2 linked regions of the Arabidopsis thaliana genome follow. The protein of the gene in region 2 interacts with the protein of the main gene of each other region in a biochemical or structural test. Each region holds a gene or a part of one and is shown on either strand. Other genes may lie near its edges.

Evidence for each region. The genes of interacting proteins can lie anywhere in the genome.
Region 1: the proteins of FLR1 (region 2) and AG form a complex in vitro, tested with the Arabidopsis thaliana proteins (one study listed by BioGRID).

What each region holds. Positions count from the first base shown.
Region 1 is NC_003075.7:10,381,055-10,388,855, forward strand, and holds AG (K-box region and MADS-box transcription factor family protein), read left to right. Parts: upstream 1-1,801; 5' UTR 1,802-2,626; intron 2,627-2,857; 5' UTR 2,858-2,862; coding exon of another isoform or gene 2,863-2,986; coding exon 2,987-3,092; intron 3,093-5,927; coding exon 5,928-6,017; intron 6,018-6,091; coding exon of another isoform or gene 6,092-6,099; coding exon 6,100-6,173; intron 6,174-6,275; coding exon 6,276-6,337; intron 6,338-6,424; coding exon 6,425-6,524; intron 6,525-6,610; coding exon 6,611-6,652; intron 6,653-6,736; coding exon 6,737-6,778; coding exon of another isoform or gene 6,779-6,811; exon of another isoform or gene 6,812-6,908; coding exon 6,909-7,105; intron 7,106-7,214; coding exon 7,215-7,218; 3' UTR 7,219-7,485; downstream 7,486-7,801. UniProt on the Arabidopsis thaliana protein: Probable transcription factor involved in the control of organ identity during the early development of flowers. Is required for normal development of stamens and carpels in the wild-type flower.
Region 2 is NC_003074.8:3,873,545-3,878,682, reverse strand, and holds FLR1 (Leucine-rich repeat (LRR) family protein), read left to right. Parts: upstream 1-2,380; 5' UTR 2,381-2,607; coding exon 2,608-3,211; intron 3,212-3,545; coding exon 3,546-3,919; 3' UTR 3,920-4,196; downstream 4,197-5,138. Other genes in the region: AT3G12150 (alpha/beta hydrolase family protein), read left to right, coding at 62-449, 670-754, 874-1,043, 1,459-1,733, 1,822-1,995. UniProt on the Arabidopsis thaliana protein: Promotes flowering transition in long days (LD).

The sequences.
Region 1 (7,801 bases), on a different chromosome or scaffold from region 2:
TAACTCTTGCTAATTAAATATACTACTAGAGAAGGTAAATTACATGCAGTTAAGCTATACTATTTTTTCTAATTGCAAGAAAGAAAGAAAAAGTACAAAAGAAAAGAAAGCACATTGCAAGTGGATGTATATATAGTTATAGGGAAATAAATATGAATATGGACTGTATATACATATAGGTTTCTCTTATCTCTATCAAATTACCTTAAATGGGTTCATAAAGATGGAGATCAAAGACTACACATCACATGCTACTCTCCCTCTTCTTTTGGCATAACCTTACTCCATTTATACATTGTGCTCCTCAATTATTCAACATTTTTTAAAAATAACTTATTTAACAAAATGTTAGAAAATATCTACCCAATTTTTTTCTTCCACATACGAGCTACAAAGATCTTTATCAAATAAAACAAGAAAGATTATTAATCCATATTTTGGGTTAAATTTTAATCCATTTAGCCAATTAGGAGAACTATTTTAACAGTTAGATACTTTTCAACAAAATTTATTAAGTAGTCACCTATGTATATTCATATAGTAGTTTCACAAACAATATGGAGAGCTGTGATCTTGAAGAGGGCGACAAAAGTCAAAAAGAAAATGTAAAAAAAGAGAGAGAGATTAAAGTAGTTGGAGAAGAGAGAAAAGTCTGGTTACCTTCTAATTGAGTCAGAAGCATTACACTTAAATAACTTTCCAAATTAAGCCCTACGTCTTGTCCAGCCCCTTAAAAGTACGCTTCATCTCCCTATTTCCCCTATAAACCCTAAAACCCTATTTATCTTATTAATTTATCATTTTTTTTATATGTCAATATCACAACAAGTAAACATCATCAACTTCAAATCTCACTAACATAAATAGTATGCTAATTTTCTTCACTATCTGAGTAATTTTCTCCTTCTTTTTACATCATTCGATTCTATATTTGCCACACCATTAAATAGATAAGTATATTGGTTCTTACTACTAATAATCAGTTTAGCCATATATCTAATTACACAGTTTTCTTTTATATGTTACTTTATATTTGTACACCATCAGTTACTATATACGGAATAAATTACACCTCATCATGTAATTACAATATTATCATAAATTTTTTGAAATTCTATTCTTTAATATTTTCAGTATCCAGAATCCATTTTCTTATATTTATTCTGGCAAAATAATGTAAAATGGTATCAAATATACAACACCATATATTTGTTTATAAATAACTTCCTTAATTAGTGAAACAAATTTTCCTGCAGAATGTCACTTAAATCTTTAAAACAATTCACAAAAGAAAAGGGAATAGAGCTGAAATTTTTTCCTCTTTAAAAAGATCAAGATTTAGTAAAAACTAGAAACAAAGAAGAAGATCGATATTTGTTGTAACAAAAAAATGTACTGATCAGATTTACCCAAAGATTTTAGTGCCTCAAAAACTTTCACATGAAAAGCAAAGACAAGTAATGGTAAGTAGAGTCTGCATCTCATGAGTGATTGCCCAACTTGAACCCTCTTTTCATTTAGACCTTTGTGAAAGACCACACAAGAACTACCCACCAATAACTCTCTCTTTTTTTCTTCATTTCCAAAAACTATTTATTCATTTCTACAATTTCTCAATTTGGGGGTGTCCTTAATAAGTATTATATTTATGAAAAGTCCGGATGTATGGTGGGTGTTATTTATGGTAATTAACACTATTTATTAATAATATTTTTCATGTGATTTCAAAAGCTGATGTACTCATGCTTTGTGAACCTTTAGATTGCTCTATGTCAATCTTTTATTTTAACCTATCATATGTCTAAATGTACTGAAAAGAAACACCAGTTTAATTAATTATACTTCCCTCATATATAACTATCAACCAAGTACAAAACTTTTGTCAATTCTCAAAATCAACTTTCACCACATAATTATCTAACATGTGTATGTTCCAAAACCAGTTTAAATAGAATTACTTTTCAGAAAATACATGTATATTAACTCTATCTAATAAAGAAGAAACACATACTTATCTCATAGATTCCATTCATAAAACTATGCTTTAGTGAGTAAGAAAACCAGTAATCAAACACAAATTGACAAGACACTATATGGATGTAAAAAGTGGGGAAAAATGGTGATAAATAGTAGAGAAAATTAAAAAGAAAAAAAATATTCCTTTATAAATGTATATACCCATCTCTTCACCAGCACAACCTTACCTTCCATTTTCTGCAACTTCTCCAAATCTCATACTTTCCAGAAAATCATTTTCCCAAGAAAAATAAAACTTTCCCCTTTGTTCTTCTCCCCCCAACAGGTCAGGCTAGTATTTTGTTGTTCCCCAATCCTTTCAAACATTATCTTCTTCATAATATTACTTTGCTTCACTTCTTTTGGTCCTTAAACCAAATTTTTGTTCTTCTTTAGTTTCCTTTTTTCCCGTTTTGATTTGATTCTTTTTATGTTATTTAGAGAGAAACAAGATTCACAAATTCTCTGATCTTCTTTAACTCTTTAAAACTTTTCTTTTTCACACTCTAGATTTAAATTATCCCTATGGTTACAAAACAATTTTGTTCTTAGTTTATAACTTGTGTATTACCATCCTTTCTTGATTAACTCTTGTTAGGAGAATATGAATGTAAGATCAATAAAGTTCTTCAACTTTATAATTCCTTCTATAAGATGTGTGTCGGCAACAGAATTAAATTAAATCTTTATAGTTTAACTTTAATCTCAACCATAATTCAAAAGAATAGAAAACATGAAGAATCTTGAGTCTTTTCAAGAAAATCTTGATTGGTTTTTTGTTGGATTCTTGTAATTCTGTACTAATCAAATTTTGCCCTAAACGTTTTTGGCTTTGGAGCAGCAATCACGGCGTACCAATCGGAGCTAGGAGGAGATTCCTCTCCCTTGAGGAAATCTGGGAGAGGAAAGATCGAAATCAAACGGATCGAGAACACAACGAATCGTCAAGTCACTTTTTGCAAACGTAGAAATGGTTTGCTCAAGAAAGCTTACGAGCTCTCTGTTCTTTGTGATGCTGAAGTCGCACTCATCGTCTTCTCTAGCCGTGGTCGTCTCTATGAGTACTCTAACAACAGGTTTCTTCTTCTTCTCGTGCTCTGTTCTTACTTTATTAATAATTAAATTATTTTTAAAGTCCGATTTAGGGTTTTATGTTTATGTTAAAGCATAAATCTTTTACGAGGGTTTTCGATCTTCTAAGCTAGATTTGATTCTCTTCTTCTTGAATGCTCTTATGGGTAGGATTATTTTTCACTTTTTTCCTTCATATTCCACACACATATATATATAAACACACTAACATTAGTGGGAATATTTGTTTGATATGTTTATTTTATTTACTTCGGGGGTTTTTGTAACAATTTTGTAGATCTAATTTCTTGTTCTTCATGTGTATATTAATTTTCCCTTAAGACTTAAATAAAAAGAGAGAATTTGTTATATATAGATATATGAAGTGAGGGAAATGGTACAAAGTTAAAGGAGATCTGAGTGAGAGTTAGATAATAAATGAAAAGAAATAAGAAACCATCAGGGTTTTTTCTAATGTGGAGTTTTAGATTCAGTTTTGTAGAACTAAGATTCACTTTGTTGGGTGTTCTTTCTTCACTCATTTCTGTTATTATAATAATAATAAAATCTTATATCTTTCTATTTTCCTTACTAACAAGTACTTGAAGATTTAGATATATTTATAGATCTGGTGTTGTAATAGGTAAAAACTTGATTTTTATGACTATAAAAGTAAGTTTTGGGAAACAAATTGGGGAGAGAGTAAGGAAGGACTATGAGGTCATATCTTCTGTTTTGTGATCATCCATCCTCCATTGTTGTTAATGTCTGTGTCTCTCTTTTTCTTCTCTTCTTTCTCTTACTTTCCTTTCTTATCTCTAGCTCTCTTTCTCTCTCATGAATTATATCATATCATATATTTGATACAAACACATGTGATGGTAAGTGAGAGTGAATAAGGTGAAACTAGCTAGATTTTTGAGTTTTCATGAAATTTTAACTTATATGAGTGATAGAAAATAATGGAACTTATACGTACATGTAGGACAATTTAGATGGTTATCTAAGTTTTTGTTTTTGTTTTCTCTTGAGAATGTTAAATGTTAGTGTTATTTTTGTAGTTTTGGAAAATTATATATGAGCTAAGATTAGTTTAGAAGTGGTCAAAAGAAACATAGATTTGAAATTTCAACTGAATTTTCAAGATTTCAAATAGTCAATGAAACAAGGAGGTAATTAAGACAAATTAGCTTATGGGGACTCTTTTTTGTTATTCCTTAAAATTACTCTTTTTAAAATTAAAAATAACTAATCTCATTTCGAACTACATTACTCAAACTAGTAATCTCTAATTCGACACGCAATTTCCAAATACTTATTAGTAGAGAGTCCCACGTGATTACTTTCTTCTCCACCAAAACATAAAACATGTCAAGATTAAATGGTGTTTGAAAATTAAAAGATCAATTTTCTTAATCGTTTACAGTTGTCAACTCTCATGTCCTGAAATATATAATTCTCATGTCCAAAACAAGAAAAGCTAACAACGACTTCAAATTAAATCAGTCAATCAAAATTAGTCTTCATTTACCTACTAATTTCTTTTTATATATCCGATGGGTACTCTACGAAATCAGAGTTTCGTTTCTTTATTTATTTTCTTTTATAAGATTTTTGAGGTTTTTTCAGAGGTTGGAATTGAGCGCAAGATTAGGTTTTGGGTCTGTAAGATTTGTTGTCTTTGTTAAAGAATCTTTGATCACGTCATCACTCAGATATTATTTCTTTTTATTTTTCACTTGTATTTTTACTAATTTATTATAAAGTTTTGTTAGTTTCAGTTCTTGACTTCTGACAAGAAGGTTTTATGTCATAATGAATTAATTTGTAACCTATTTATAAATTCAAAAATGTCATCATATTACTACTTTTGACCATTTAATATTAGATTTCTCATTTGGTCAATACCCAATGTTCATATTACATATATAGAGACAAAAATTATAAGGATACTAAATTGTTCATATTTCTTGGAAGTAAAAAGATTAATGATCACTGAATAAATAGATTTGGCATAGAAGTATAGCATTGGAATTGCTTCAACATCTTTGGTGTAGATAGATTTATGCAATTTCTCTTTCTTTTTGAAGTATCTTTTTTTTTTCTAGAGAGAGAATAATGTTAGGGATTTTTATCATTTTCTCTCTCATTATGGGTACTGAGAGGAAAGTGAGATTTTTAGTACGGATCCAATAGTTTAAGAGTTTGGTCTGCCTTCTACGATCCAAAAAAATCTACGGTCATGATCTCTCCATCGAGAAGGTTGAGAGTTCAGACATCAAAGTCTATAATATGTCATTGTAATACGTATTTGTGTATATATATCTATGTACAAGTACATATACAGGAAACTCAAGAAAAAAGAATAAATGGTAAATTTAATTATATTCCAAATAAGGAAAGTATGGAACGTTGTGATGTTACTCGGACAAGTCATTTAGTTACATCCATCACGTTTAAATTTAATCCAATGGTTACAATTTTAATACTATCAAATGTCTATTGGATTTATACCCAATGTGTTAATGGGTTGTTGACACATGTCACATGTCTGAAACCCTAGACATGTTCAGACCAATCATGTCACTCTAATTTTGCCAGCATGGCAGTTGGCAGCCAATCACTAGCTCGATAAATTTAAGGTTTCAGAGGAATTTTAATTTATTTAGGGTTCATATTGTTTCATAAAATGATTCTTTATTTGTTACAACTTTAAGGAAATATTTTATTAACTATTTAATTGTTCCCTTTTCTTATATTACTTTTGTTTTTTCTTCACATCATGTGTCACATTAAGTTGCATTTCTTCTGACTCAAAAGAACCGATGTTTGCTTTTAAGGTTTCGTATTAGAATCACTTAACTGTGCAAGTGGTCGATTTGACCCTATCAATTTTATTTTTTATTACTTATCAAAATGCAGATTTAAGCGTAGATTAAGTTTAGAAAATAGGTAGTTAATAGGTCTAATTAACTTATTAATTCCTTTAAAAAAATTATTGCAGTGTAAAAGGGACTATTGAGAGGTACAAGAAGGCAATATCGGACAATTCTAACACCGGATCGGTGGCAGAAATTAATGCACAGGTAAGTGGTAACTTAATATTACACGAATGATTTTAATTAATATATGATGACATGACAACATTGTTCATTCTTTTACTCTTTTTTTTTTTGTTGTTGTTGTAGTATTATCAACAAGAATCAGCCAAATTGCGTCAACAAATAATCAGCATACAAAACTCCAACAGGTTAATTATCTAACTGACTTGAAATATTTGATTACTTGGTTGTTATTAACTATTTGATATATTAACATATGTTGATAAATCAATTAGGCAATTGATGGGTGAGACGATAGGGTCAATGTCTCCCAAAGAGCTCAGGAACTTGGAAGGCAGATTAGAGAGAAGTATTACCCGAATCCGATCCAAGAAGGTAATTCTATTTTTTTTATAAATGCTTCAATATAATATCAAATTAAATCTATATGCCTTGTTGCTAATTTTTGTTTAATTTTACAGAATGAGCTCTTATTTTCTGAAATCGACTACATGCAGAAAAGAGTAAGAAATAAATCTTAACTTAATTTCTATTCTTAATATGTTCTTATAATAATTTTGCTCATTTGCATTGCACCGATTAAGCAGGAAGTTGATTTGCATAACGATAACCAGATTCTTCGTGCAAAGGTAAAAGTACACATTATATATCAATTTCTATAATTTTCCCTATTGTTTCAATAAATATTATATGAAAACGATTAAAATGGTGAAAGTACTTGTAGATAAATAGTTTATGACATATATTTGTGTAATGTAGATAGCTGAAAATGAGAGGAACAATCCGAGTATAAGTCTAATGCCAGGAGGATCTAACTACGAGCAGCTTATGCCACCACCTCAAACGCAATCTCAACCGTTTGATTCACGGAATTATTTCCAAGTCGCGGCATTGCAACCTAACAATCACCATTACTCATCCGCGGGTCGCCAAGACCAAACCGCTCTCCAGTTAGTGTAAGGACACAAAATCTTGCTCCGATCAATCATTCTAGTCTTATATTATTAATCGGTCCATTTTGTAAAACTTGACAGCATGGATTTGGTCTTTTATGCTGTTTTGTAGGTAATATAGGCTGAAGGAAATGGCCGGGAGTGAATAAAAACCAGAATTGGGTTGAGCAAGCAATATAAAGCTAATGCATGTTATATATATATTTATCCCATGAATGTTGTATCAGTGAATTTTATGCTTATGTTGATGTGAAATTAATATCTTAAAGACATGTCATTAATGTGCTTAATTTGCTTCAAAACATCTATGTGTATAAGTGTACTATTAGTTCAATTGTTGTATTTAATTACCAATTCCTGCTCTATTAATGATTTTATTATAGAAAAGTCTCAATATGATAATGATATATATTCATGTGCTGAGTTCCATCCTCCTCCTCCTTCTCCCCATGTGGTACAGTTGCAAAATGTCGAAACATTCGTTCATTTTGTAGCTGCCTACCAGGAATACATTCACCACCCGGTCTCAATATCTCGCGTCTTGCTCGGTGAAAACACATACAAGAGTATTAACCATATTTTCTTTAAATGCACATACAATAGCTTATCTCTGCCTAGCTTCATTTCGTAAACCAAGAGCAAACATTATCGGATGGCTCCATACCTGTTCTCAATAAATCATGGTCATAATCAAGCTCA
Region 2 (5,138 bases):
CATATTCGATTCACCGGCGGCTAGGTATTTCTCAAATCGGTCAGATTTCTGAGATTTATTTATGAGAACAATGGTGACGACCAAATTGGGAATGCTCCATTATGTAATTGACCATATATATGGAGCGTTTATGCACCGCACCAAGATGACCCCACCCTTCTTCTCTCGAGGTTGGGGTGGTCCCAATCTCGAATTGCTCGAGCGTATGGTTCAACGCCTCTTCCCTCTTGAGGTTCAAGGTCAGAATTGGCCACCGCCTCTGGTTCGTCCAGTCTGGAGAACTGTTTGGGAGACAAAGACCGCTACTTTGAGAGAAGGTGTTTTCCAGACTCCTTGTGCCGATGAGCTTACCGCTGCTTTGCCTCCGGAGTCTCGCACAGCCAGGGTTGCTTGGCTTGTCCCCAAAAACGTTCCTCCCCAAAAGATGGCTTGTGTGGTTCATCTTGCAGGTACCATTATTGATTCTTCTCTGTTTAGAATAGATTATAGGTATATACACTAAAGTGACCACAAGGAGACCTTAAATTTGGTGTTTTGAAGCCTAGTTGTTAGAAGGGCTTGTCTATGTGATCTTAATTTGTTCATAGCCCTTCCAGGTTATTGTCTTTTTACAATTGCTCTTGATTTGTAAATATCATATCTTTCTGATGATGTGTGGCATTGTTGTAGGCACAGGTGATCATACATATGACCGAAGATTGCGTTTGGGTGGACCGTTGGTGAAACAAAACATTGCAACAATGGTGTTGGAAAGGTAATAAAAGAGACTTGTTTCTCCCCCTTGATGAAAGCTTAAGAGCAAATCATTTTGCTTTGACCGCTTTTGAAGCTTTTTGCCATGTTTTTGATCAAACATAGATAATGCCACTGCAGCCCTTTCTATGGCCAAAGGCGTCCCTTTCTTCAATGCGGTGCGAGACTCCTCTGTGTTAGTGATCTACTTTTGCTAGGGAGGGCAACAATCGAAGAGTCCCGCAGTCTTATTCACTGGCTAGACACTGAGGAAGGCTTTGGAAAGATGGGTGTTTGTGGGCTAAGTATGGGTAAGTTACATTTATCTTCTTCTATGAACAACTTGTGAGCTAATGCATTGAGTTAAATTGGATGAATAAGTGTTAGATCTGCGTTTTCACCAAGGTTATCCAAAGTTTAAACTGTGTTGTGGATGTCGCTAGTTGGATGGTCTGGTATAGGTTTCCTGCAGTAGTTGTGGGGATGGTAATTGGCTTTCTACATATATCTATAGTAAAGTAAAGTAGCCGCTCCTAGTTATCGTGCTTCATAAGATAACAATCCAACTCCTCAATAAGCTTCTCAAATGCATATGCACCCATAGATTTAGGTTCAAGTGTTCCATCTAGGGATCTATGCGGCTACAGCTTCATGCATTGATTGAGTTGCTTATCCTTTTCCTTTCACTTGAAACTTCAAACTGATAAAGGTGGATGAATATATTAGGAGGAGTACATGCTTCGATGGTTGGATCGCTTCATCCAACACCAGTTGCAACACTTCCATTCCTATCTCCGCACTCTGCTGTTGTTGCATTCTGCGAAGGAATATTAAAGTATGGGACTGCTTGGGAGGCACTGAGGGAGGAACTTGCAGCACAGAAGATCACAATGACTCTTGATGAAGTGAGAGAGCGGATGCGGAATGTTCTCTCCCTCACAGACGTCACTCGCTTCCCTATTCCCAAAAACCCTGATGCTGTTATCTTTGTTGCTGCAACTGTAAGTAGAAAAGTTATTCCGAAACTCGAAACATCAAACAATATGTTTGGAGACACATTACTGGTTGCTGATTATATGATTTGTGTAGGATGATGGATACATACCAAAACACTCAGTGTTGGAGCTTCAAAAGGCGTGGCCTGGTTCAGAAGTGAGATGGGTCACAGGTGGACACGTGTCTTCCTTTATACTTCACAATGATGAGTTTCGCAGAGCAATCGTGGACGGTCTCGATAGATTAGACTGGAAGGAGTCATGGTGAGGTATAACATGCGTAACACAGCCCCTTTTTAACACAAAGGGAGGGGTCATTATGTAAATGTCTTAATCTCCTCTTGTTGTATCATTTGTGTATGTTAGGAATAAGATTCTTTGCGCTTTCAAAAGTGGTGGGCTCTGATATTTATTTGTCTTGTGTTGTTTTTGTCCCAACACATAGCAACCATTTTAGGGGTTTTCGCTCATTACATTCCATTAATATGTCATATACATTGGATCTTTAACATTGTTTTTCTTTGCGCTCTTTTCTAGCATGTGTTTTATATGAAATGAAATGATTGTACTCACTATGAATGATGCGGTAACTAGCGTATATATCTTATACACAATGAAAAACACATGCTAAAACATTTGTATACCTAACTATTTGGTGCAGTGTGCCAGTGACTATCATACGGTCAAATTATTGAATAGTAGAGATATATGTACCATGCTTGTGAATTAAATTTATGTTGTGAAAAGAATATTGTACGTTGGGAGTAGTGTAGAACCCTAACTGTACAAAATCAGTAACATTACACAGCTGTGTTCCATTGAAGTCTCTGCTTATATACAAGAACTTGCTCATTCCTCAAAGCATCCACACATAATCACGATGAAGCTCTTTGTTCATCTCTCTATCTTCTTCTCCATCCTCTTCATCACTCTCCCATCTTCTTACAGCTGCACCGAAAATGACAAGAATGCCCTCCTTCAAATCAAGAAAGCACTTGGCAATCCTCCCCTTCTATCCTCCTGGAACCCCCGAACCGACTGTTGTACCGGCTGGACCGGCGTCGAATGCACTAACCGTCGCGTTACCGGTCTCAGCGTTACCTCCGGCGAAGTCTCCGGTCAGATCTCGTACCAGATCGGCGACCTCGTTGACCTCCGTACACTAGATTTCAGCTACCTGCCACACCTCACCGGAAACATCCCACGCACCATCACCAAACTCAAGAACCTCAACACTCTCTACTTGAAGCACACTAGTCTCTCCGGTCCGATTCCTGATTACATCAGCGAGCTCAAGAGCCTCACGTTCTTGGACCTTTCTTTTAACCAATTTACCGGTCCAATTCCCGGTTCGCTATCTCAGATGCCGAAGCTTGAAGCCATTCAAATCAACGATAATAAGCTAACCGGTTCTATACCAAACTCTTTCGGTTCTTTTGTTGGCAACGTCCCTAATCTCTACTTGTCTAACAATAAGCTGTCAGGTAATTAGCCATCATTTTCCATTTCTTTAATAGTTAATACTATGCTTTTGGTCAAATGTTTATTTATTAGTTTTTGGCTTGGCTTGTGTTCAAAGTCAAATGTTTATTTATGTCGGAATCGTAGAACTAGCCTCGTGCCTTAAAGTGTTAATGTAACCACTAACCAATGAAGATTTTATAGTGGGATTACCCTTAACTAAACTAGTTACTTACTTATATTTGGTAATTGGTCCCCAACAAAACACAAAGAAACTTTTATAGTTAAGATCTCGCACCAAATAAGATTTTGTTGATAAATTTCTAATCCCGGTTTAATGAAATTTTTGCATTGCAGGAAAAATACCGGAATCGTTGTCTAAATACGACTTCAACGCAGTGGATTTGTCGGGAAATGGTTTCGAAGGAGATGCCTTTATGTTCTTCGGACGGAACAAAACAACAGTACGAGTGGATTTGTCGAGAAACATGTTTAATTTCGATCTCGTCAAGGTTAAGTTCGCTAGAAGCATAGTTTCGTTGGATCTGAGCCAGAACCATATCTACGGGAAGATACCACCAGCACTGACTAAACTACACCTCGAGCATTTCAACGTGAGCGACAACCATCTCTGCGGAAAAATCCCAAGTGGCGGTCTACTTCAGACCTTTGAACCATCTGCCTTCGCTCACAACATCTGTCTTTGTGGAACTCCCCTTAAGGCTTGTTAATTTGGTTTAATCTTGGCGGAAGAATAAAAATAATGTTGAATATGTTATGATGATGTGTTCATTATCACCGCCAAACCAAGTTTATTGTTTCTTTGTTATGAATTTAATTTAATGGCAAGAATTGGTTACGTAAGAATGTTGTGAGGTATATTCACAAGTCTAATCTTTATAACACTAGATAAGTCCGCCTAAATAGATGGGTGTAAAATGTAACTGTAATTTTTTATCGATAATATTTAAATTTTGAATAGTAAAATAATAATCTATACATTGTTCTTGATATATAATTTTGAATAGTAAAATAGTAGTCTTATGCATTTTATTTTATAATACCCATTCAATCTTATTGATGATATTTGAAGTCTAAATAGTAACTTACACACTTTTTCTTTATTATAATTTAGTATTTAGAAGAAAAGAACAAATTTTTATCTTACATATTCAATTTTGTAATACAATTTAACTATCTATTTCATAAAAAACTCGATTTTAATTATATACACTTCATCTTACTTGATAATGATTTCATGTCAAAATAATATATATGAGATCAAATCTATATCTTAGTTAATATTAAAAATTATTAACAATTAACAAAACATAATTAATAATAATAAAAATTTTGTTAATACCATACATATTAAAAATTTGACCAATAACATATATAAATATTTTTGGTTAATTTTCCTTTTGGTTAAGAAAAATAAAATGTAATATTTTTTAGATATATATATATGAATTAGTATATGTTAATAATGATTTATTTTTTTGTTTTCTATTTCTTTAAGAAGAAAAAATTTAATTGATTTTTTTTTTAGTATTTCTATTTCTTTAAGAAGAAAAAAATTAATTATGTTCTTACACGTGTCAACATCTGATCGATAGACTTGACACATGGCATAATCCTATGAGTTAGTAATTTTCAAAACCATACTTTACATAACAAAATATATGCGATTCCATTACTCGATTTTTTTAAGTCACTTCTAGCTATTTTATATTTGAGCAACCGATAAACTAAGAACAGAACAAAGACAGAAGTGTTAGAATTGAGTGGTGCAGTGACGAACGTATGGTTAAATTATTGAATATCGTATCAAATAGTTAAAACAACTAAATAAAAATATATATATGCACCATGCTTTATGAGTTATGAGATGAATTGAATTTATGTTATAAAAAGGTTATTGTACGTTAGAACTTTTAGGAGTAGTGTAGA